Diceros bicornis minor: one gene and its partners. Each later gene encodes a partner of the first gene's protein in a complex. Links are inferred from orthologs where the notes say so. Each region holds a gene or a part of one and is shown on either strand. Other genes may lie near its edges. The genes, in order: SART3, CCNT1 and USP4.

Evidence for each region.
Region 2: SART3 (region 1) and CCNT1 share a complex: the UniProt entries of both Homo sapiens proteins name them as parts of the 7SK snRNP complex. The link is inferred for Diceros bicornis minor from reciprocal best matches to the Homo sapiens genes SART3 and CCNT1.
Region 3: the proteins of SART3 (region 1) and USP4 are in contact, whole or in part, in a crystal structure (PDB 5CTR), measured with the Homo sapiens proteins. The link is inferred for Diceros bicornis minor from reciprocal best matches to the Homo sapiens genes SART3 and USP4. Residues at the interface, in NP_055521.1 of Homo sapiens: Asp437, Ser438, Ser439, Lys440, Gln490, Arg493, Glu494, Trp496, Asp497, Met500, Thr501, Ala505, Trp511, Tyr514, Lys529, Arg533, Cys537; in NP_003354.2 of Homo sapiens: Met24, Thr27, Leu28, Ser53, Trp54, Glu123, Gly125, Leu126, Phe127, Val128, Lys129, His130, Cys131, Lys132.

The regions. Positions count from the first base shown.
Region 1 is NC_080774.1:18,772,435-18,779,426, forward strand, and holds the start of SART3 (squamous cell carcinoma antigen recognized by T-cells 3), read left to right. Parts: upstream 1-3,963; 5' UTR 3,964-3,988; coding exon 3,989-4,303; intron 4,304-6,992. Other genes in the region: iron-sulfur cluster assembly enzyme ISCU, read right to left, coding at 692-805, 2,411-2,524. UniProt on the Homo sapiens protein: U6 snRNP-binding protein that functions as a recycling factor of the splicing machinery. Promotes the initial reassembly of U4 and U6 snRNPs following their ejection from the spliceosome during its maturation.
Region 2 is NC_080756.1:20,861,827-20,869,112, forward strand, and holds the start of CCNT1 (cyclin-T1), read left to right. Parts: upstream 1-4,187; 5' UTR 4,188-4,274; coding exon 4,275-4,435; intron 4,436-6,210; coding exon 6,211-6,292; intron 6,293-7,286. UniProt on the Homo sapiens protein: Regulatory subunit of the cyclin-dependent kinase pair (CDK9/cyclin-T1) complex, also called positive transcription elongation factor B (P-TEFb), which facilitates the transition from abortive to productive elongation by phosphorylating the CTD (C-terminal domain) of the large subunit of RNA polymerase II (RNA Pol II).
Region 3 is NC_080741.1:50,519,519-50,526,810, reverse strand, and holds the start of USP4 (ubiquitin carboxyl-terminal hydrolase 4), read left to right. Parts: upstream 1-4,268; 5' UTR 4,269-4,430; coding exon 4,431-4,531; intron 4,532-6,722; coding exon 6,723-6,850; intron 6,851-7,292.

The DNA of each region.
Region 1 (6,992 bases):
CTGGTAAAGATGAGCTGAAAAATATGCCCCCTCCCTAGTTTTTTTTGCAATGCTAGCCTGCTTTTTGGCTATGAAGTTCTGCTCACAGCTGCTGGGTCAGTCTGCCTCTTTAAGCACTGGGACGGTCTGCACTAAAGGTCTCTGGTTATTGCTTTTTTCTTGGCACCAAGTTACCTTTAGTGGTTCCCTCCTGCCTTGTTTCTGTTTTCCAAGATAAGCATGAAAACCTCTGGCAAGGTGCCCACCCACCATGATGAAGTAGATTGTGCATAAAGCTACGGTTTCCCCAAAGTGCCAATCACTACCTTCAGGTTGTTGCCAATTTGGGGGAGGTTTGATTTATTACATTTCTTGTCTCACTGAGGGTGGCTAGCTGAACGGTTGTGGTTTTCCTTCGATCAGTAAAATTCATAAAAACTTTACTTCGCTGAAGCTGGAATTTAAGCTGATCCAGTGACTAGAAAAGGGAGATCAGTTTACTATATCAGAAAGGGTCAGCACAGTCTACTAGCAGGGGGACTAGCATTCAGTCCTTGCTCTGACAATTTATAACACTGACTCACCCCATCTCACAGGAATCAAGATGGAGTCTGCACGAAATGCTGTGTGTGCGCATGCTTTGTAAACAGTGAAGCTCTGTGTAAGCAAAGGGGTCACTGTTATTCACATTCAAGATCAAAACCGGTCCTACCTGTAGTTTCATTACATCACCACACGCTGGAGCCCCCACCAATCCAGTTCCCACATTTTTAGATGTCTTGTCAAGGGACCCCACGTTTCTAGGATTTTCATAATGATCAACAACCTGAAACGAAAGGTTGAGAGCAATCATGACTCTTTTTTGGTACTGGTCTCCCCGACTTGACAGTAAGCTCCCGGAAGTCGGCAGGCTGAACCTGGCAGGCGATCACTAAATCCCAAATTTCACCCTGGTAGGAAGGCTTACACCTCTGTCAATGACAACCATTTGCGACCCAAAGTCTTTCTGTATCTCCTCTCCAACTACCTTCAGAGATTTGAGATACGAGAGAAAAACCAGCCAAATCATGTCTTAATTCCACAGGGTTTTTAACCACACATAATTACTTGACCTTTAACCACCTACGTCACCAGATTTGGGCTCAAACAGTATTTTTGTTATTTCCAAATAAAATCCATTTTTAAAGGTTAATGATTACTATTCAAAAATTCTAAAAATAAGTACGGGTCAGAAATGTAAGGCTTTCCCAGAGCCTCAAGGAGACTGTTACAGAAGGAACAATGCTATGGACCCTGTGCATTTGTGTACGATGATAACATCAGGCCTGTTTCTGTATTTCAGGGCCCTGAAAGCCCCCCGGTGCAGCAGCGCCCCCTGGTGGCTGGAAGGCTGCTAGCTCGAACTCATTCAGCGTGAAATGTCAACAAAACACACCCCCGGGAGGCGGAGGAGGGAAGTCCTTGGCATCGTGAAGCCAGAAGCGAATAAATCTCTCTTCACACTGGCACACACGCTTTAATAGCCTTGGGTCCGTTTACCAGTTAGCTCTAAGTATCCCGATCTTCCAGTCTCCTTTCCCCCACCTCTCCGACCACGGACTCGGACTCCAAGCCCAAGGACCTACAAGGTCATGTCCAATCTGGACTTTCTGCCCCATGTTGATGTACGGCATTCTTCGCTTAGTTTCCGGAGTCAAAGAATCTCACGTCTAGGGGACTTTACGCCCCCAGAAGGCAAGGGCTGTAAACGTTGCGCCTATTCCTCTCCCCCTCCCCCCACGAAAAAACCAAAACATACATAAAAACATTATGACTGCTGGTTACGTGTCCGACTCCGCTCAGAGGCTCCTTCCTACCACAGTAACAGCTGCGGCACCATAAACGGTCCCCGTGTGCTAGGCATCACGCCGAGGACTCCACGAGCATCACCTCGCGTAGATCTAGAAGTGCTAAGACCCCCATTTTACAAATGGGGAAAAGGGCTCGGCGAGGGGCAGTGACTTGCCCAAGGTCACTGGGCCCGGGCAGTGGCCTGGCTGGAGCCGGTGTGCGTGTCTGGCCCCGGATGCGGCTGGCAGGTCCCAACAGGCCCCCGACTGTTGGGAAGTTAAAGGCCGGGACGCGAGACCCCGCGGCGGGCGGCGGGCCCCGGGCGGCGGCGGCTCCACGAGCCGCAGCCGGTGCTTGCTTCAGGCGGGTTAGCGTTCCTGCGCAGCGAGGGGCAGGGTCGAGCGAGGGGGCGGCCCCTCCGTCCGGGGCCGGGCGCCGCCCCTTCCCCCGCCGTAGCAGGGGCTCCCCGGCCGCGCAGAGCCCCGCGGCCACTCCTCCCTGGGCTGGGCCTCCGCCGGCACGCCCGGGGCCCCTCGGCGGTCGTCGCACTCCCGCCCCCCCGGCCGGCGCGGGCCCTGCGCGCCCCCTCGCCCGCGCCCACCTTCTTGTGATAGAGCCGGGCCGGAGCTGACAGCTCCCGGGCGGGCAGGCGCGGGCTCCGCAGCAGCAAGGCCGACGCCGCCCGCCTCAGACGGCCCGCTCCAGCCGCCGCCATCTTGCGGGCTTGCGCCTGCGCAGGCCGAGCGCGAGACCGAGGGGTGGGGTGCGCCCGCAAGTCGGCTCCCAGCTCGGAGCGCGCTTCCTCCTACGTCACCGCGACGTCGCGCCTGCGCCCTCTCGCTCCGTGCACGTGTCCGCGCTTGGGCCCCGCCCCTCAGGGCGGGCGGGGCTCGGAGCTGGGAGCTGTGGGGTCGCAGGCGGGTTTGTTCTCGGCGCTGGGCTCTGTATCTGCTAGGATCTCAGCTTCCTGGAGTGCGGGACCTACGTTCGCGTTCACAAAGCCCACCGCCGGAATACGGCGCAGAGCATCACCTAGTCCACCTTTCTTCACTCTGTTTTGCAGCTTAGGAAGTTGAGGTTCAGAGCGACTTAGTAGCTTGTCTGAGGTTGCCCAGAGTTTGACTCAGTGGGGATTCAAACTCGAACAATCCTGTTAGAATCCCGGTTCTGCTTCTTCCTGGCTGTGTGACTGTAGGCAAATGACATCAGCTTTCTAAGCCTTGATCTTCTCTTTTGTACTAAGTCAAGGCCAATTTTTTCATCCATTGAGCAGATATGTGTTCAGTACCTATCATATGTCAAGGCGCTATACTAATAGGCTTTGGGGATCCAACGGAAAGACATAGTCCCTGCTCCATTAAGCTTGCTAACGAAGGAGGAAGGCAATAAATGAACACGCCAATACTTTCCTACCTCAAAAATGGGAAGCTTAATTAGGAAGGAAACGAACACCATGCCCTGATTAACAGAAAAATGCGTATATTTATGTCCGCGTCTATTTCAATATAAAGCAAACTGGCACAATTTATATGACAATACCTGGCAGTGAAGAGTTTCTGAATAAATGTTTAGTCATGTAATTTATTAATATTGGTTTGCAGAATACGGTCTTAGAAAACGAGAAATCTCGCACGTGTTATTTAACGCCTGCTAGGCACCAGGCATTACATAAAGGGGAGGAATCTCTTTGGGAAATGGATTTTTCTCGTGGATGGTGCAATCGATACTTCCCAGAGGACTCGGAGGTTTCTCTGCGTTTGACGCTCAGTTGCTGGGGAGACTGAACCACGCGCCAGGTTAGACGCAAGCAAGGCGTTTATCCCAAGAATCATATTGACCTTCTCAAGATGGCTCCAAACCCTTAACCACAGTCATCACGCTCCCTCCATGACGTCCTCTAATGGCCTCCACTTCCGGTCCAAAGACCCATCTTCTGTCCGAAGTTGTGGCCGTACATATGCCATATTATTAAGCTTCTTTCTCTGAAAAAAACTTTTACAAGTATATAAAAACAATGTGAGTGGCGTGTATTTAGAGATTTTTCCATCACCCGAAGCTCACAGTTTCCCTTTGAGTGGCAAGAGTGCGGGGTTTTGATCAGGCACGCGCCGCGGGCAGCTTCTACTTCTGCGGGTCTTCGGCGGCCGCGTGAGGACCCGAGAGTCACTGGAAGCGCAAGATGGCGACCGCGGCTGCAACATCGGCTTCGGAACCGGAGGCTGAGCCCAACGCTGGGCCCAAGGCCGAGGGAGAGGAGGAGGAGGTGAAGGCGGCTAGGACGCGGAGGAAGGTGTTATCGCGGGCTGTGGCCGCTGCGACGTGCAAGACCATGGGGCCAGGGTGGGACCAGCAGGAGGAGGGCATGAGCGAGAGCGATGGAGACGAGGAGTACGCCATGGCTTCCTCGGCGGAGAGCTCCCCCGGGGAGTACGAGTGGGAGTACGACGAAGAGGAGGAGAAGAACCAGCTGGAGATCGAGCGGCTGGAGGAGCAGGTGCGCCCGGGGGTGGGCGGCGGGCTCCTTCCCTCGCGTCCCCGGGCCCCGGCCCGCCTCCGTGGTCCTGAGCGGGAATAAAGACGCCGAGGCCGCAGAACCGCTATCGTCACCGCAGCTCCTGTCGTTGGAGCGCTTCCCGCTGGCCCCGTGCTTTGCAAGCGTTATCCCACTGAACCCTCGCAAGGACCCCGCGAAGGAAGGGGCGTATTCCCCGTTTTACGGGAGGAAACAGGCTCCTCGTGGAGAGAATTCTCAGGCTCAAGATCACACTTCCTGCAAGTGGCGAGTCAGGTCTTGAACTTTGAACCGACTCCAGCACTCCCACTCTTCACCACACCGTTAGGCTATGCCCAGCAGTAGAAATAAAATTCGCTTCGTAAGAGAGGGTTATTTTTCTGTAGGAATGATGATAATGCTGAAATGTGGCGTGGCAGAAAATGTTGACCGTGACGACGATCACAGAAATAGAAGGGTGGGGATTTCAGCGTCTGGAGGCGAAGGCCCCAGTTCTAGCTCTTCCACGCCTGTACGTGCTTGGGCACGTTGCTTAGCTTCTCTGAGCCTTGGCTTCCTCATCTGTAAATTGGGAGTAGCAATTCCTGCACCATGTAAACGACATAACGGTAATATAATTCAGTGGGGGGCACCTAGTAGTGACGTGACTTCTAATCTGTGACTTTATGAGATACAGGTGGTGGATCTCCTGTGTAATCCAGGATCCCAGCAGGAAATAGGTGGTGCATTCAAATTAGGATAATTTGAGAAAAGGTCAATAAAGGGACTACTGTGTTTGTAAAGGTGTGGGCAGGGACATCAGGAATGAAGGTTAGCACTTAAGAACTAATAACAGCAGGACCTTGTGTCCACTTTTAGGCCTGAAGGAGTGAGGGGAGTGCCTGGTTTTCTGAATAGCTGGGTGGGAGGGCACCTGAGAGGAGCTAAGACTTTTGGGCAAGGGATGCGGCCCCAGTTTCCTATCAGAGATTGAGGTGGGGGAAGAAATACCCTCACCTCCCTCTCTTCCTCTCCAGACATCTCCCGGTGCCTCCTACTGGGCAAACTCTGCTGGAAGCAGGAGAGCCAGGAAGCCCATTGATATGGTCCACACGGTGGCGGTGGGGGTGGCGGGGGCACAGGACAGCGTGGAGGGGGTGGAGTGGATTTGGAGGGGCAAACGGAAGAGATCTAGCACCTTCTCAGTTTACAGATGAGGAAACAGAGGCTCAGCACAAATGATGAAATGATTTGCTTAAGGTCACTCATAAGGGGATTTGAACTTTTCAGGGTTGTCTGTGGACCAGATGCCACTCTGGATGTGAAATCACTTAGTGATGTGAAGGTTCCTCACTTAAGCTTGCTGGGTGTGAGTTTGCTTATAATGTCCTCTCTGACTGTGATATATTTGTCAAGTTATGGAGTAGTGATATCATCCATTGGTATAGCTTGTCCCACTCGTCGTCATATCTGATTGTCACGGGAACCAGTTGGGGTAGGCAGGTGGTTACCACTTCTGCTTCTTTTAAAGAAGTTTGCTGATGATCGTTCAGTCTTTTGCTCGTTCAGCAAATACAGTGTGATATGGAGTGCCAGACTGGCGTGTCCCTGTCATTATGGTGCACGTCTGTTCTTCAGACTTGGAGTCTTGGGCCTTTCAGTGAGCCATTAGCTCACTTGGACCTTACTATTCTGTGAGGTAGAGGAAATAGGATAACCTGTTTTAGTGGGAAGGGGAGGCCTGGAAGCAGAGAAGTCCTTAATGAGGGTACCCAGCTTACTAGGAAGGAGGATGGATCAGAGCAGAGGTCTCCTGGTGCTCTGCAGTTGCCTGCCCTGCCTCAGGCCACTGAGGCTGGGCTGGAGCTCTGAAGGTGACCACACAGGAGGGGACCTGGCCAGTGATGGTGAATTGAAGAGCCTCTGGCCTTATTCTCTTTGTCCTGGGTCTAGAAATGGACTTTTCCAATTTTTCCAAACCTCCCTTGGATCTCACAGCTTCTACTTCCTGCTGTAGTTGCTTTTATGGCTGAGCATAATGATGAATAACTTACAGATAGGTCTGTGAGAAATTCGGCCTTGCTATATTTGAGAATTCCGGTTCTCATCCCTAGGTGTGTTTTATGAAAGCTTGAAAATAGTGTGGTGTCTGTCCGTGTAACAAAAGCAGCGATTTCCCGTTATTTGCGTTTGGTCCTGAAATGAAAAGCCCCCTCGGGCAGATTCGTTAGTGCACCACGGAGCAGTGCAGAGCATGGCTTTGCAGCCGGATGTGAGCTCAAGGCCTCTGCTCAGTAGTGGAAAGACTTCGTGCACAGTATTTCAGCTCTCTGGGTCTGCGGGGTCCCAGGTGGGAAAATGAGGGTTATAGTAGTCCCTCCCTTACAGGGCTGTTGTGCAGTTTAAGTGACACGATGCGCATTACGCTCCTGGCACAGTTTGGCACGTGGGTGCTATGCCAGGGCCTGTGTGACACAGACCTGCTCTGTGCTCTGTTCTCCTGTCCCCGCCTTTCCCTGATCGCAGCAGCTGGGTCCTTTCCATCAGGCCCATCTGTTACCTCTCCACGCTAATTCCAGGGAGTTAGGAAGTCAGCAGGTCACTTCGTGCATTGGCCAAGCCCCCTCTTGCTGTAAAGCATCCTTTGTCATTAATGATGTTCTGAGTCTGGAATAGACCAGCATATGCACTC
Region 2 (7,286 bases), on another chromosome or scaffold:
AGTCTCTTCAACAAATGGTGTTGGGAAAACTGGACAGCCACGTGCAAAAAAATGAAAGTAGACCCTTACCTTACACCATACACAAAATTAACTCAAAATGGATTAAAGACTTGAATGTAAGACCTGAAACTATGAAACTTCTAGAAGAAAACATAGGCAGTACACTCTTCGACATCAGTCTTAGCAACATGTTTTCAAGCACCATGTCTGACTGGGCAAGAGAAACAATAGAATAAATAAACAAATGGGACTACATCAAACTAAAAAGCTTCTGCACAGCAAAGGAAACCATGAGCAAAACAAAAAGACAACCTAACAATTGGGAGAAGATATTTGCAAATCATACATCTGATAAGGCGTAAATCTCCAAAATATATAAAGAACTGATGCATCTCAACAACAACAAAAAAACAACCCAATTAAAAAATGGGCAAAAGACCTGAACAGACATTTCGCCAAAGAAGATATACAGATGGCCAACAGGCACATGAAAAGATGTTCGACATCATTAACTACCAGGGAAATGCAAATCGAAACTCCAATGAGATATCACCTCACTCCCGTCAGAATGGCTATAAGTAACAAGACAGGAAACAACAAGCGTTAGAGAGGATGTGGAGAGAAGGGAAGTCTCATACACCGCTGGTGGGAGTGCAAACTGGTGCAGCCACTATGGAAAACAGTATGGAGATTCCTCAAAAAATCAAGGATAGAACTACCATATGATCCAGCTATTCCACTGCTAGGTATTTATCCAAAGAACTTGAAAACACCAATGCGTAAAGATACACGCACCCCTGTGTTCACTGCAGCCTTATTCACAATAGCCAAGACTTGGAAGCAACCTAAGTGCCCATCAAGGGACGAATGGATAAGGAAGATGTGGTATATATACACAATGGAATACTACTCAGCCATAAGAAACGATGAAATCCAGCCATTTGTGACAACATGGATGGACATTGAGGCTATTATACAAAGTGAAATAAGTCAGAGGGAGAAGGTCAAATACAGTATGATCTCACTCATTAAGTAGTAGATAATAACAACAACAACAAACACACAGAGACAGAGATTGGATCGGTGGTTACCAGAGGGGAAGGGGGGAGGGAGGAGGGCAAAAGGGATAATTCGGCACATGTGTGTGGTGATGGGTTGTAATTAGTATTTGGGTGGTGAACATGACGTAATCTATGCAGAAATAGAAGTATAATGATGTACACCTGAAATTTATACAATGTTATAAACCAATGTTACTGCAATAAACAAAAATTTAGAAAAGAAATAAAGAAATTTACAATAAAGAAGATTTATATTTTATTTTATATAAATTGTGTGCTACACATCCTTTATATCAGTAAATTTTATAATAAACTTATGTACATTTACATACACATACAATTATTTTTGTGCATAGTTAATTGTTCATAATTTACCAATACACACACACTATGGCCAATTTCAAGCTATCAACGTGACGTCACTAAACGTGGAGTTGGGGATAGTTACGAATAGCATACCATCATTTCATATTTTAATTTGGAGACTATGAACATTGGGGTGAAACTGTTTTAACAGCAGTAAATGGTAATGTTTGACATGACTGAAATATGATATTCATGAGCACAATGCAAAACAAGATCAAACCATGAAATATGATATAATCCTGTACCCAGAACAAGATTAGTCTAGTGAATAGGAAGAGTAGCCTTATAAGTGTGATATACAGGAAACAGAGTCCTATTTAAAAAAAAAAAGCAAAATTCCTCTGGTTAAAGATTTTGTCAATTGTTCCTTAAGGGTAATGTATCTGAAGGTTAACATTAATTTGACAATAAACATGTACTGAACATCTATTATGTGCCAGATGGTGTTCTGTCAGGACGTAGAGATGACACTTAAGATCACACAGTTAAAAGAATAGCTGAGAATTTTGAGGACATTATACTAAGTGAAATACACCAGTCACAGAAAGACAAATACTGCATGATTCCACTTATATGAGGTATCTAAAGTAGTCAAACTCACAGAAACAGAAAGTAGAATGGGGGTGGTCAGGGCTGGGGAGGCGGGGAAAGGGGGAGTCGTTCAATGGGTATAGAGTCTAAGTTTTGCAAAATAAAGTTGTAGAGACCTGTTGCATAATAATGTGAATATAGTTGACACTACTGAACTGTACACTTAAAAATGGTTTAAGATGGTAAAAAAAAAAGAATAGTTAGAATTTGAATCCAGGCCTGACTCAAAAACTCACGTTGAGCAATTATGTATCACTGCTGCCTACTTTCAAATAATTTCATCTTCAGTCAAAGAATATTTTCTTTCTCTGATTTACACAGGTCCCCCTCTTCTGTACGGCAGGGTAGCAAGCCATTGGTTAGCAGCTGCATTGCCTGAAGCCTGACAGACAGCAGAACTTTTTCTTGGAAGCCTGGCATACTCAGCCAGGAGAGCAAATTCCAAATGGAGTCAACAATTAAAGAAATTAAGTGGAGAACTAAACACAAGTCAGAGAATAGGCAAGCGGGATCTGGGAGAGAGAATCTTGGCTGTTTAAAAGACAACATACATGACTACATAGCTGAAAAAGTGCTTATTCTATTAAAAGAAAAATTTTATTATTTTATTATCTGTGATGAAAGAAGTTTAAAATTTTGTGTTTTTTTTATGTTATAACTTGATGTAAGTAATTTAAATTTTCCTGAACCTCAATTTTTCTGGGCTAAAATGGAGCTAATGTTAACTGTAGGCAGTATATGACAGAGGAGGGCCTGAAATGGAAGGAAATACTTCTGAGAATAAATTAAAATCAAATTTACTGAGTGGGAGCAGCCACGTCTAGAAACGACAAAACTCAAAATATTATAAAAGCAAAAGATTCTAATATTACCCAGATGTAATCAAAGCAAATTGAGTGTTCCAGAAAAGCAAGAATATAGGTCGCTAGAATGGAAAGAACAATGGAATTAGACTTGATTTTAAAATCTACACTTACAAGTGGGGTAGTGTAGGGTAAACTACTTAATCTCTCCGAGCCTCAGTTTCTTTACTGCAGGGTGTCATGAGCATTTATTTGACATTTATTGACTATTAGGGCCAGGACTGTACTAGGTAGGTGCTGGAGATACAAAAATGAAAGTGGCATTGTCCTTGCCCTCAATTTCAGTATAATGTAATAAATATCATGATAATATCTACTGAATATTTTCTATGTGCCAGGTACTATTATAAATGCTTTTAATTCATTAAATCTTTATCTACTCATTCACAACCTAAAACGCAGGTACTATTATTATCATTTACATTTATACGAGAGGCAGAGAGGTTAAGTATCTTGCCCAAGATCAAATGTTGGAGCTTGGATACATCTTGACAGAGGACAGAAACTTACAAATTTGTGCCTGTGCAGGGTGGCGGTGGAAGCTTTCCACATTGAAGGAGAACTTGCCACACTGAACGGAGAACTGAAGTTCACCGTTCGCAAAACGGGGATTAAACTGTTACTACCAAGTTGTGCCGATTAAATGAAGTAGTGTATTTAAGAGTGTATTTGTGCCTGGGACACAAAATTACTACTATTAATTTCATTTTATTCCTTTAAGTTGGATCACTGTGGCGAAGCGCAGGAACGTTTTCAAGGCTTTGGCTACATAGTATAAAGCAGCTTTTCAAATGGGTAACTCACATTGTACCAACAATGTAAGAGCTTCTAGTTGCTTTATGTTACGATATACGATAGGGCCACTCTCTTTGATTACTTTTTTCAGTTTTTGACAATCTCACCTATTTTCTCTGTCAAGTTTTCCGTCTGCCCCATTTTACATCCCCACCTCCACCACAAACGAACTTCTCCGAAGAGCCGCCGAGCGGCGCCTGGGCGGCCGCCTCACCCCTCCACAAACGACGCCTCGCGCCCTCGCCATGGGCGCGAAGACTGAACCCAGTTCTCGCGGGAGGTGACGTGGTTTTGAACGAAAGCGTCTAATCCCACCCTACCTCCCAAGGGTCACATGACTGGCGCCTGCGTCCTAGACCCAAGGCCTTTCCTGGTCGCCTATTGGCTGTTAACTCGGCTACAGGTTGCCGCGAGGTCCATTCCGGAAGTAGACCCTTTAACTAGCCCTCTTCGGCGGAAGCGTGTCACAACCTAGCCGTCCACCCTTAACGGAAGTTCGTCACGTTGCAGTTGCTGCCGCACAGCGGATGTGGGTCGCCGCTTAGGTGACGCTGGGAAGTGCTTGCAGCCTCCGCCGCTGCCTTCTGATTAAAGCACTATGGAGGGAGAGAGGAAGAACAACAACAAACGGTGGTATTTTACGCGAGAACAGCTGGAAAATAGCCCATCTCGTCGTTTTGGTCTGGACCCAGATAAAGAACTTTCTTATCGCCAGCAGGCGGCCAATCTGCTCCAGGACATGGGGCAGCGTCTTAACGTGTATCCTTGCGGCCTAGGCCTTCGGCCTTGGAGTCAGTCCCGCTTTGCTCGGGCGTCCAGGCCTCAGGCTCTGTCAGGGACGGAAGCGGGAAGAGGGTGGGCAGGGGCTGGATGTCTGGGTGGGAGAGCTGACGGTGGGGCGGGCTAAAGTTCAATGTTCGCGCGGGGAAAGCGAGGCGGAATTAATTTCCCGCTCGCTCACCCGTGCCACCAACCTTGCTGGGAATTCGTATCCTTCCCGGCTTTGTGTTTTAACCAGCCCTTCCTAGTCGCTTTTCGGTGTGTTCTGATTTCCTGCTCTGATGACTTTGGGATTCTGCTTTTCCGCTATGCCCTAGGGGTCTGGTGGAGGTTTCACGGTTGATGGCTGCCTCTTGAACTTAGTGTGTAAATCGAGTTTTGAGAAATTCAATATCTGAAGGTCTTTGCAAAGGGTGGCCTGAAATTAATGCCCCAGCTTTGGTTCAAAATCCGTTCCTCCCATTTACTAGCTGTTTAAGAAAGCTGTCGAATTCTTGGTTTTCTTGTCTGTAAAATGGGGTGATACCACTTGCGTTTGATTTTGTGCCCAACACAGTGCTTGGCATTCAGATATTCAAATAATAGTTAGTGTTAGAGCTTATAGAATTTCAGAGCAAGGAAGGATGTCAGTTTAGATTTGTAGGGACATAGACCTACGGATCTAATGTTTTAAAAACCGTTTACAAAATAATGGGCTTTTAAGTTATTCAGAGGGCTGGTGTGTATTCTTTTTCCTCATATTTCAAAGATGAGGTAATTTAGTGATTTTTTTTCCGTGTATTTTTATGTGTCAGAAAATATGCTCATTTTGTAGCAGAGAAAGCTAATGTAGCTTCAAAGTACTTTTCACTCTGGAAGTGAAAAATTATTCTTGGGTGCAACTTCTCTTTAAATGTGTTGCTGGCTGTAGTATTTGTGTCTTAAGGTGTGCTCGCCTCAAAAGAGGTGTCCTCTTTATTGCTGATACCCAGTTTGTTTCCTAAGCATTTTTATTGCTGATATCCAGTTTGTTTCCTAAGTCAGTACTGAGTTAAACCTTGTTTTTTTTAAATTCTGTTTCAGTGCGTCCTAGCATCCTAGTCCTTTCCTTTTTATATATGTTGTTATAAAGATTGTTGCCATCATGGGACTGCCTCATCTCTGTATACCCCACAGGGTCTTTTGAGGTCTTCAGAAGTAAGGCGTTTAAAAGTTTTTCTTTCCAAGGAATGAATATCAAATCATTCCACAGTGTTTCTGGTCCCAGGGATCACCGAATGAGAAGGCTTGGTTGCCAGAGAGAAGTGAAACAAGTGGAACTGAAAAGTTAATTGCTGCAGTTTAGAAGGTGAGGAGATAGTGGAGACATACCTAGGGGCTGGTTGAGGGAGGTCATTGGAAATCATGTGAAGAGAGATCCTGAGCTAATGGGTCACCACTGCAGGGTTTTCAGTAGGCAAGTGACAGGTTTAGGTCTTACATAGTTTTGTTTTTGTTACTTCTTGATCCACACGTTCTGAGAAGCTTGCTTGTTTATTAATTCAGCAAATTTATGTTGAATACTTGTTATGTGTAAGGCATTGTGCTGTCAATTGGTGGTTAATAATTCAGTGAAAGAAAACAGACTTGCTCTTTAATTTGGAGAAGTAAGTATGATTTTCATTTAGGAGCATCTACTGTGCTTGGCTGCATGGTCCTTTTGGGAGGATATAGAGGTTGTATTTTTTGGGAATTGTACTGCCTGCTGTTTTGGGCCCTTAACTTGAATATTTTAGTTCACAATTGACTATCAACACTGCTATCGTATACATGCATCGATTCTACATGATTCAGTCCTTTACACAGTTCCATCGAAATGTAAGTATAATTTTTTTATATAGTATAATCTTGTGATTTTTGTATTTCTTGTGTGGTTAATCTTTACCGCTAAACTGAACTTTTCAGTTGGGATTTGAAGTTTAGAATTTAGAGTTGATCACTTGCATGGTGTGTCACACTGCTATTCTGAATCCAGCCTTCCTATTTTCCTGTGAAGAGTCTAGCTAGTTGTTTGATAGATTTAGTGCATCCTTAGATGAGGTAAATTCTCTAATAAAGAAATAGATTATTGAACACTAAACTTAACATTTTTGGGTTGGGAGACTAGCATTAAAGGGGAAACTATGCTTAATTTAAGTGTGATTTTTGAATCACACTAAATAATAGTATGCTAAATAATAGTATGGTCACAGGAAAACAAGTGAATGTAAGTTATTTAGATTTTCTAAAAGCCTTTGATAAAATTCCATTTGATGACTGGTTGCAGGGGGAAGGTACATTATGTGATGATTAGGGGTTGACTTTTAAGACAGGAAAAAGAAAATAATAGTAATAAAGGGATTTTTTTTTCCTGGACAGAATTGTAAATAGTGCTATTTTCAGTTTTGCTACCTGAAATGGTCCTATTTAACATTATTGTAAATGACTTGGAAGCGAGTGCATAGTGATATCCCAGTTGCAGGTAAGACTATATTTGTTTAATAAAGTCACAAGTTAATAGGGCTAAACTTGATGAACACATCATGTGGATTTGTGAGTCAAATATTTCCCTTTTTTTTTTTTGAGGAAAAGTATTTCAGACTTATCCTTAGGATGATGGGTTTTGAGCTCTTTTTTTATGCCATAGGAGGATAATCTGTGAAACTAGATATTGCTCTTGTAATGTAAGATATTGGCGGACTCGGTATTGAGAGTAATTGTGCGGGAAATATTTTGAATTTGTGGATTAAGTATTCCCTATTTTTGCTGATTATCCAGTCAGCTTGGCTTTCTTCTACCCTTAGCCTCCCTACCTCCTGCCCCACCCTATCTC
Region 3 (7,292 bases), on another chromosome or scaffold:
CATCCTGCAGACAGAAACTCCACCCAGGTCTAGTGTAAGCTGTGGCCAGCAAGGCCAGGGCAAGAGACCACAAAACAGGCCCAATTTATCCAAATGCCTAGAGTCTGAGCAGTATCCAGGGGCATGTGCAGACCACTGTGGGTGGTGTCCTACAGTCTTGCAGACCACCTGGCTCCACAGGGAGGCAAGTGGAGGGGATCGGAGTCTCCCTGCAAAGGAAACACCTGTTAACCCAGCCTCCTCTGTCTCTAGCATGTGACTATGTCTGTGTATGTGTAGGTGAATCTAAAGAAGCCCTGGTTCCCTGAGCATTCCTTTGCAGACTCATCATGCATTCCCAGAGGCAAGCCAAAGGGAATGTTAAGCAAAGCATGCCTTTGCTCCCTACACCAGTTGCTTAAGTTTCCTTCCCAGCAAAGGTCTGCAGCATCACCTTCCATGTTCCTATAGCACTTTTATCACACAACATAGAACACTGTAATTACATGTGAAAACATCTTCCCCAACCACATTGGCTGTGAACCCCTGGAGGGTAGGGACTATGAGCATATAACAGGTTATTAGTCAAATGAAAAAATGACTAGTATCTGGATAGTTCTTTCATTCATTCATCCAAGAAATGCTTACTGAGAATCTGCTGTGTGCAAAGGGCGAACATGCATAATTAACATCTAAATACTTGTTTATGGTTAAGACATTGATGGTAACAGAATTAGAGGAGGAAGAGAAGACACTAGCCACACCTGGGCCCAGGGTGCCATGCTCTCCCTGCCCAGTCAGGGCTGGCCACCAACAGTGGCATAACCAGAATGGAATCTGTCCAACGGTATGAGTTTCCAACATAGGAAAGTTGATTCCACTTCCACTCTGTGAGATTGGTTCAGGTTTTTGCCTTTGTCACCTTCCTCAGTAACCTAATCCTTATATAACAGAGGTTATAATGTCACGGATGAGACGTTTAATTCTTTCAAAATGTACTTCTAGAGCTTTTTACTTTTTCACAGTCTCCTGGGCAGGTTAACGAAGCACAGGCAAGAACAAAACAAAAATATTTCTCTCCTGATGCCACCTTTAATCAAAAGGTGCCCAATATTTGTGACTCCTGTCACATGTGCTCTGTTTCTGCTGGCCAAATGTGGACCAAGGGTGACTTGGGAGGGCCAACTCCAGTCAGGTGTAGAGCAAGCCATAGTACCAGTCAAGGCAAGAATTTTATAACTTGGAACAAAGTAAAGCTTGAAGTTCACAGATCCAGACATTACAAACCCTCAATTAGATCATCACAGTCCAAGATCAAGCAGTATGTGATCAATCAGCCAGGCCTGTTCCCTCTATATCCCTTCCTGCGTTCTTTCCTGTTCTTGTGGCCCAAAATCCCATGGCAACGGGTGGGTTGTTCAGTTCTGGGGTTTGGTGATGGGGCAAAGTGAGTGCTCTACTAGGCCTGCACCTCTTCCTAGGGTAAATGGCCAGAGATCACAGCCCTGGGGCCAGGGTGTCTCCAGAGCTGAATCATTGAATTCATTTCCTGCCAAATCCGCAGGTCACTCCCATAATAGTGGGAACACAGAAAGATGTTCGTTGTTTCTAGTTCTCAATTTTTAACTCACTAAATGAATGAAACTCACTAAAAAAGTTTTAAAACTGGAAATAATGCTGATCTTCCGACTATAAAGTTTCACTTTATTCCTTGCGTTTTAACTAGTGGCACTTTGTAATCTTAATACAAATTTTTAGGAGCTACTCATAATTGGTGCACTATTTTTATAGCTATTTAACAGCACTGAAGAGATCCAGGCTTAAAAAGATTTTCCAAAGTTTTCTTTTTTTTTCATTTTTATAATTAGGTTTTGTCCCTCTTTCTAGTGGTGCTGAGTACTTGTCGTACTTCTACTTCCTTAAGACTCTGACCCATGCCATAAATGGTAGGGAGAAACTGCTAAAAAAAAAAAAAAAAGAAAAGGGAAGCAGATACCCTCTAATGTAGGTTCTGAAGTAATGTCGGTAACCCAACTTTCTTTTTCCATAAATAACAGGACTAACGGTAGTGTTTCTCATTTGACAACATTTTTAACAATTTCAAAGAGCTTTCACAGAAGGGCACTTGTCAGGGTTGGCTCCCCAGATGTAGAATTATCACATGATTATAACTTATCTGCAGGGGATTAATTGCTACATGGTCATTCAAGGCAGTTTCAACTCCAAACTCATTATCCCTTGCTACCTACCCAACTGCCAACAGGTGTCTGTTACCAGATGGTGTGTGATGGATGTCCCAGGGTGTGCAAATTAATCGAAATTAGCCAAAACCCAACATAAAAATTGTAAATCTATTCAAATGACCTACCACACCTTCACCAGGCCAGCTCTCCGTCCTCCATCCCTAACACTGAACACGGTCTCCTGTTTCTTCTCTCCTCCCTCATAGCTACCTCTCCAGTGAAATGCTACTAATAGGTCTCTGGGCTATACCACTGTGGGTGTAAAGCACCCTCAGCCATTTTGTCTCTGCTCCAAAATTTCCTACAATATCTGTGGGCCATTTAAGGCAAGACATGTGGCCCCTCCAGCCTCCTTTCTATCTTTAGATCTCAGGCTTTTTCAGTAGTCTGATCCCAGCTCAACTGGCCTAATGCTCACTCTTTGATTCTGCCCCGCCTGTTTCAGAAATTGTCTCCGACCCCTCTAGTCTCTCCTCCTGTAACATGCACCATCATTTCTACACTTTCTTCAAGACCACACTCAAATGCTACTCAAGTCAAAGGCTCCCTTTCACAGCTCTGGACCTAGTCTTTGGTTCATATCCTTTTTTTGTGTGTGTGAGGAAGATCAGACCTATGCTAACATCTGCCAATCATCTTCTTTTTTTGCTGAGGAAGACTGGCCCTGGGCTAACATCCCTGCTCATCTTCCTCCACTTTATAGGGGACGACCCCTCTAGTCTCTCCTCCTGTAACATGCACCATCATTTCTACACTTTCTTCAAGACCACACTCAAATGCTACTCAAGTCAAAGGCTCCATTTCACAGCTCTGGACCTAGTCTTTGGTTCATATCCTTTTTTTGTGTGTGTGAGGAAGATCAGACCTATGCTAACATCTGCCAATCATCTTCTTTTTTTGCTGAGGAAGACTGGCCCTGGGCTAACATCCCTGCTCATCTTCCTCCACTTTATAGGGGATGCCACCACCGCCACAGCATGGCTTGCCAAGCGGTGCGTCGGTGCGGGCTAACATCCCTGCTCATCTTCCTCCACTTTATAGGGGACGCCACCACCGCCACAGCATGGCTTGCCAAGCGGTGCGTCGGTGCGCGCCCGGGATCCGAACCGGGAAACCGCGGGCCACCGCAGCAGAGAGCCAGCACTTAACCGCTTGCGCCACCGGGCCGGCCCCTCAAGGGTTCATATCCCTTAACGGCACTTACCACACACTGCTTGGCACTGGGGTTATTTGCGGAAGATTTCTTCTCCTCTATTAGACTGTATAAGTGCAGGTATTAGGTCTTATTTTTCTCTGAGGGCCGGAACTGCTAGGCAAGTGAACGGAGACTGGCGTAGACCAGCTGCTTGGCATCCTCCTTGCTCTGGGCTTACTTACCCGTCCAGGAGGAGGGCTGTGTTTTTTATATGCAGGGTCAAGTAGAAAACATACAGTGTTCAGGACATTGTACCTTGTTGCGGCAACAAATTAAGAAGCAGCCTGGGCACCTAATGTGGAGAACACACCTGGACCTCTCCTTCCCCCGTTGCTATGGACCCTCTGCGGCTGCCTGTCTCCCTGACAAGGCAAGTAGCTAGCTCACTGTGGACGGCTTGTGGAATTCTGCCGTGGGCAAGGTGATTCTGGCGTCCAGAGTGTTTGGAACGATTGTTAACGACTAGACCACACCGTCGAGTCCCGGTCCCAAGGCGCTGGTGCACCAGGCACTCCCCGAAATCCCTGTAGGGCCTCCAGGACAGGAACCTCGATCCTACTTTTGTGCAGTTAAGGACTCGCCTAAGGTCTCTGCTGAAAGCGGAATGGCAGGAATGACTACAAGAAAATATAGTTCCAGGGCTTTTCACACCGGTTGCTGCGCTTATTTAAGAACAGAATAACCCCGCAGGCCAGGACTGGATACCCGAGGGTCGAGGGGCACCACACTCCCGCCCCAAGGTGAGGCCTGCAGAACGGAAGGAAGCGGCGGCTTCTTCCCCGGCGCCCGCCTCCTCTTCCGGTTCCCTCCCTGCTCCACCACGTACCGGCAGAATAGGCGCGGCGCGCAAACGGCGGCAAGAAAAGGCAAAGCCAAGCAAGCGCTCAAGGCCGCGGAGCGGGGTGCCCTTTGGCGCGCGCACGCGCTTGCGTGCGTGCGTAGGTGGGAGCGGCCCACAGCACGCCGTGCGCTAGGCGGATGTCCGGGCCGGCTGGGCCGGGGCAGCGGACGAGATGGCGGAAGGCGGAGGCTGCGGTGAGCGACCGGATGCGGAGACCCAGAAATCCGAGCTCGGGGCCTTGATGAGGACCACTCTCCAACGAGGGGCGCAGTGGTGAGTGCCAGGCCCCCCTTTCGCCCGGCCAGGGCCAGGGACCGGGGCTCTGGCGCTCAGGCTAAGCCCCTCTTTCTCGGCTTGGGTAGGGGCCGGCTGGAGGCGATGTTAGTGACCCTGAGAGAGTGACGTGACCCCCGCCTCTCAGGAGAAGGACCCCGGGGTCACCTCTGGGAAAGCGTGGGCGGAGCTGAGGGTCGTCCCGGCCCATACCGAGCCCCAGGGCGCGGACCCAGCGGGGGCAAGGGCTGCAGGTTGAACAGAAGGGGAGTGCTCACGGGGACTTGCAGGATAGGAAGAGCCTTTTACCTACCAGGACTTGCCGCGTGACCTTGGGCAAAGGCATCAACACCTCATAGATCCCCGTTCCTTACTGTTAAAACCAGGGTAGCAATATTTGGCCCTCCGCCCTCAGTGGGTTGAGGCGAAGATCAGAAGTACATACTTTGTAACTTATAAACTGCCGAATAGATGTCAAGGTCAGAAGCTGAACAAATGTCTGAGAGCCCCAGGTTATTTGGTAGCAAATGTCAAAAATAATTGTGGCAGCAGCATTTCGAAGTGGGAAAGTAAGGTAGCCTACAGCCTAGATAAAAAAGATTAAAAATTTAGGGTTTAGAAGAGCAAGTCGGAGACCAGGTTTCTTAATAAATTGTTTAGTAGAAAGGACAGTATTTCCAGTAGTGAAGAGATTCCTGGTATTATTGTGTGGGAGTAGAAAACTGGGGGTTGGCTTTGCATTGAATGTGATTGAGCATCCCTCTTTAAGAAACTGTGGTGGTGTTGGTCATGGCTCTTATAATGACAGAGGAATTGAGCAGTGAAGAGAGACATTGGGGTTAAGAGTTGAGATACATTGAGCAGGGAAGAGAAACATTGAGATCAGGAGAAATTCGAATAGAGCTTTACAGTGTTCTTGAGCTAGCCGAACCGTGAAAGGCAGGGCAATCAGAGGTGCTTTTAGAAGTTATCCTGCATAGGAGTGATGTATGAAGGATACTCAGCAGAAGCAGAGGAAGTTTGGAATAGACTAAAATCACACACCAAAAGTGTTTGGAGTGTATTGTTCAAGGGGTTTGGAGGGAAAAGAGCATTCTAAAGATTTGGATGTGTTTATGAATCCTTGTGGCCTTTGGGAAGCTGCCTGATATCCTCTGAAGTTTGTTGGTTATAAAATTTGAAAGACTCACCAATATAGTTGTTGTCCTTTGTTCCCCCACAGAGTTTTCCCTTCTTCTTTTAAAGATTTATTTATTTATTTATTTATTTATTCCCCCCAAAGCCCCAGTAGATAGTTGTATGTCATAGCTGCACATCCTTCTAGTTGCTGTATGTGGGACGAGGCCTCAGCATGGCCGGAGAAGTGGTGCGTCGGTGCTCGCCCGGGATCCGAACCCGGGCCGTGAGCAGCGGAGCGCGTGCACTTAACCGCTAAACCACGGGGCCAGCCAAGGTTTCCCTTCTTCTATCTTAATTGTAAAACAGCATAGTGATACTTTTAAAATATAACCAGATCAACTTGATGCTTTTTGACAAGATAGACATACCTAGACAATATTGTGTATATATATGTGTGTGTGTGTGTGTATATGCACGTATATGTGTGTGTATGTATATATGTACATATATTTACATACATATACTCACACACATTTTTTATCTTGTTTGGTCCTCAAAGGAAAACTGAAGTGTGGGATGTTGTTATCCCATTTTCAGAAATAAAATTAGTTTAATGCTGTTCACATCAGGCAGAGCAGTGTAATCAAACTGTCTACCTGGACAAGGACCTCTGTAAAGATCATTAGGAAATTAACGACTTGACAATGTTATAAACCAATGTTACTGCCATAAAAAAAACAAAATTAAAAAAAATGAAATTAATGACTTGGTCATTAGCAAACAAGATTTTACCTATAGAAAGACTTCCTTTAAATAAGCATTTTGAAGCCAGTCATTGCCTTCCTTTCATTTATTCATTCTTTCAACAATCGTTTCATTTAATGGATGCCTGCCCTGGATCATGGCTCTCTGTGCCATGTGGTTCCTGGCCCTGCTCCTGCTTTGCCGAGTGTGTCTTTCAGTAGGTATTGCTTGTTCCCCAAGTGAAAAGACCATAAAAATATTAAGGGAGCAGCTGCAGAAACTTACAACCTCAGCTTTTCTGGAATAGTAAATTTTTGTCTGTCTCTAGGTATCTTGTTGACAGCCGGTGGTTCAAGCAGTGGAAGAAGTACGTGGGCTTTGACAGCTGGGATATGTACAATGTGGGTGAACACAACTTGTTTCCTGGCCCAATAGATAACTCCGGACTCTTTTCAGGTGTGGTATCCTATTGCTTTTCTAACTGAAATGTCCACCTGGGCAATGACCTGTGGTTGTGTTTATCTGTAACATGGACATTGTGAACCTGACTTTCCAACTGTGAGGGGATAGAAACAAGTGTCCTCGATTTGTGTCTATAGCAGAAGTCTTTGCAGACCCTCAGGGAGAAGTTAATTTTTTCCTAAATTAAAGGCTTCTAACAAGAGCATGCTTCTAGCATTTTAAATCTCTCTCTCTCTCTCTTTTTTTTGCAAATTAATTCTGCTAGAGATTTCAGATTTTAGATTAGTCTGTGGAATGAAAAGAAATAGGATATCATTTTGAAATTGCATCTGGAATCTGAAAGTTGGGAACCAGAATTTTCTGTGTTACCTTTGCAGTGTAACAAATTGTAGACCTGTCGACATTCATCAAGCGTTCCTGTGATGGCTATGTTTGT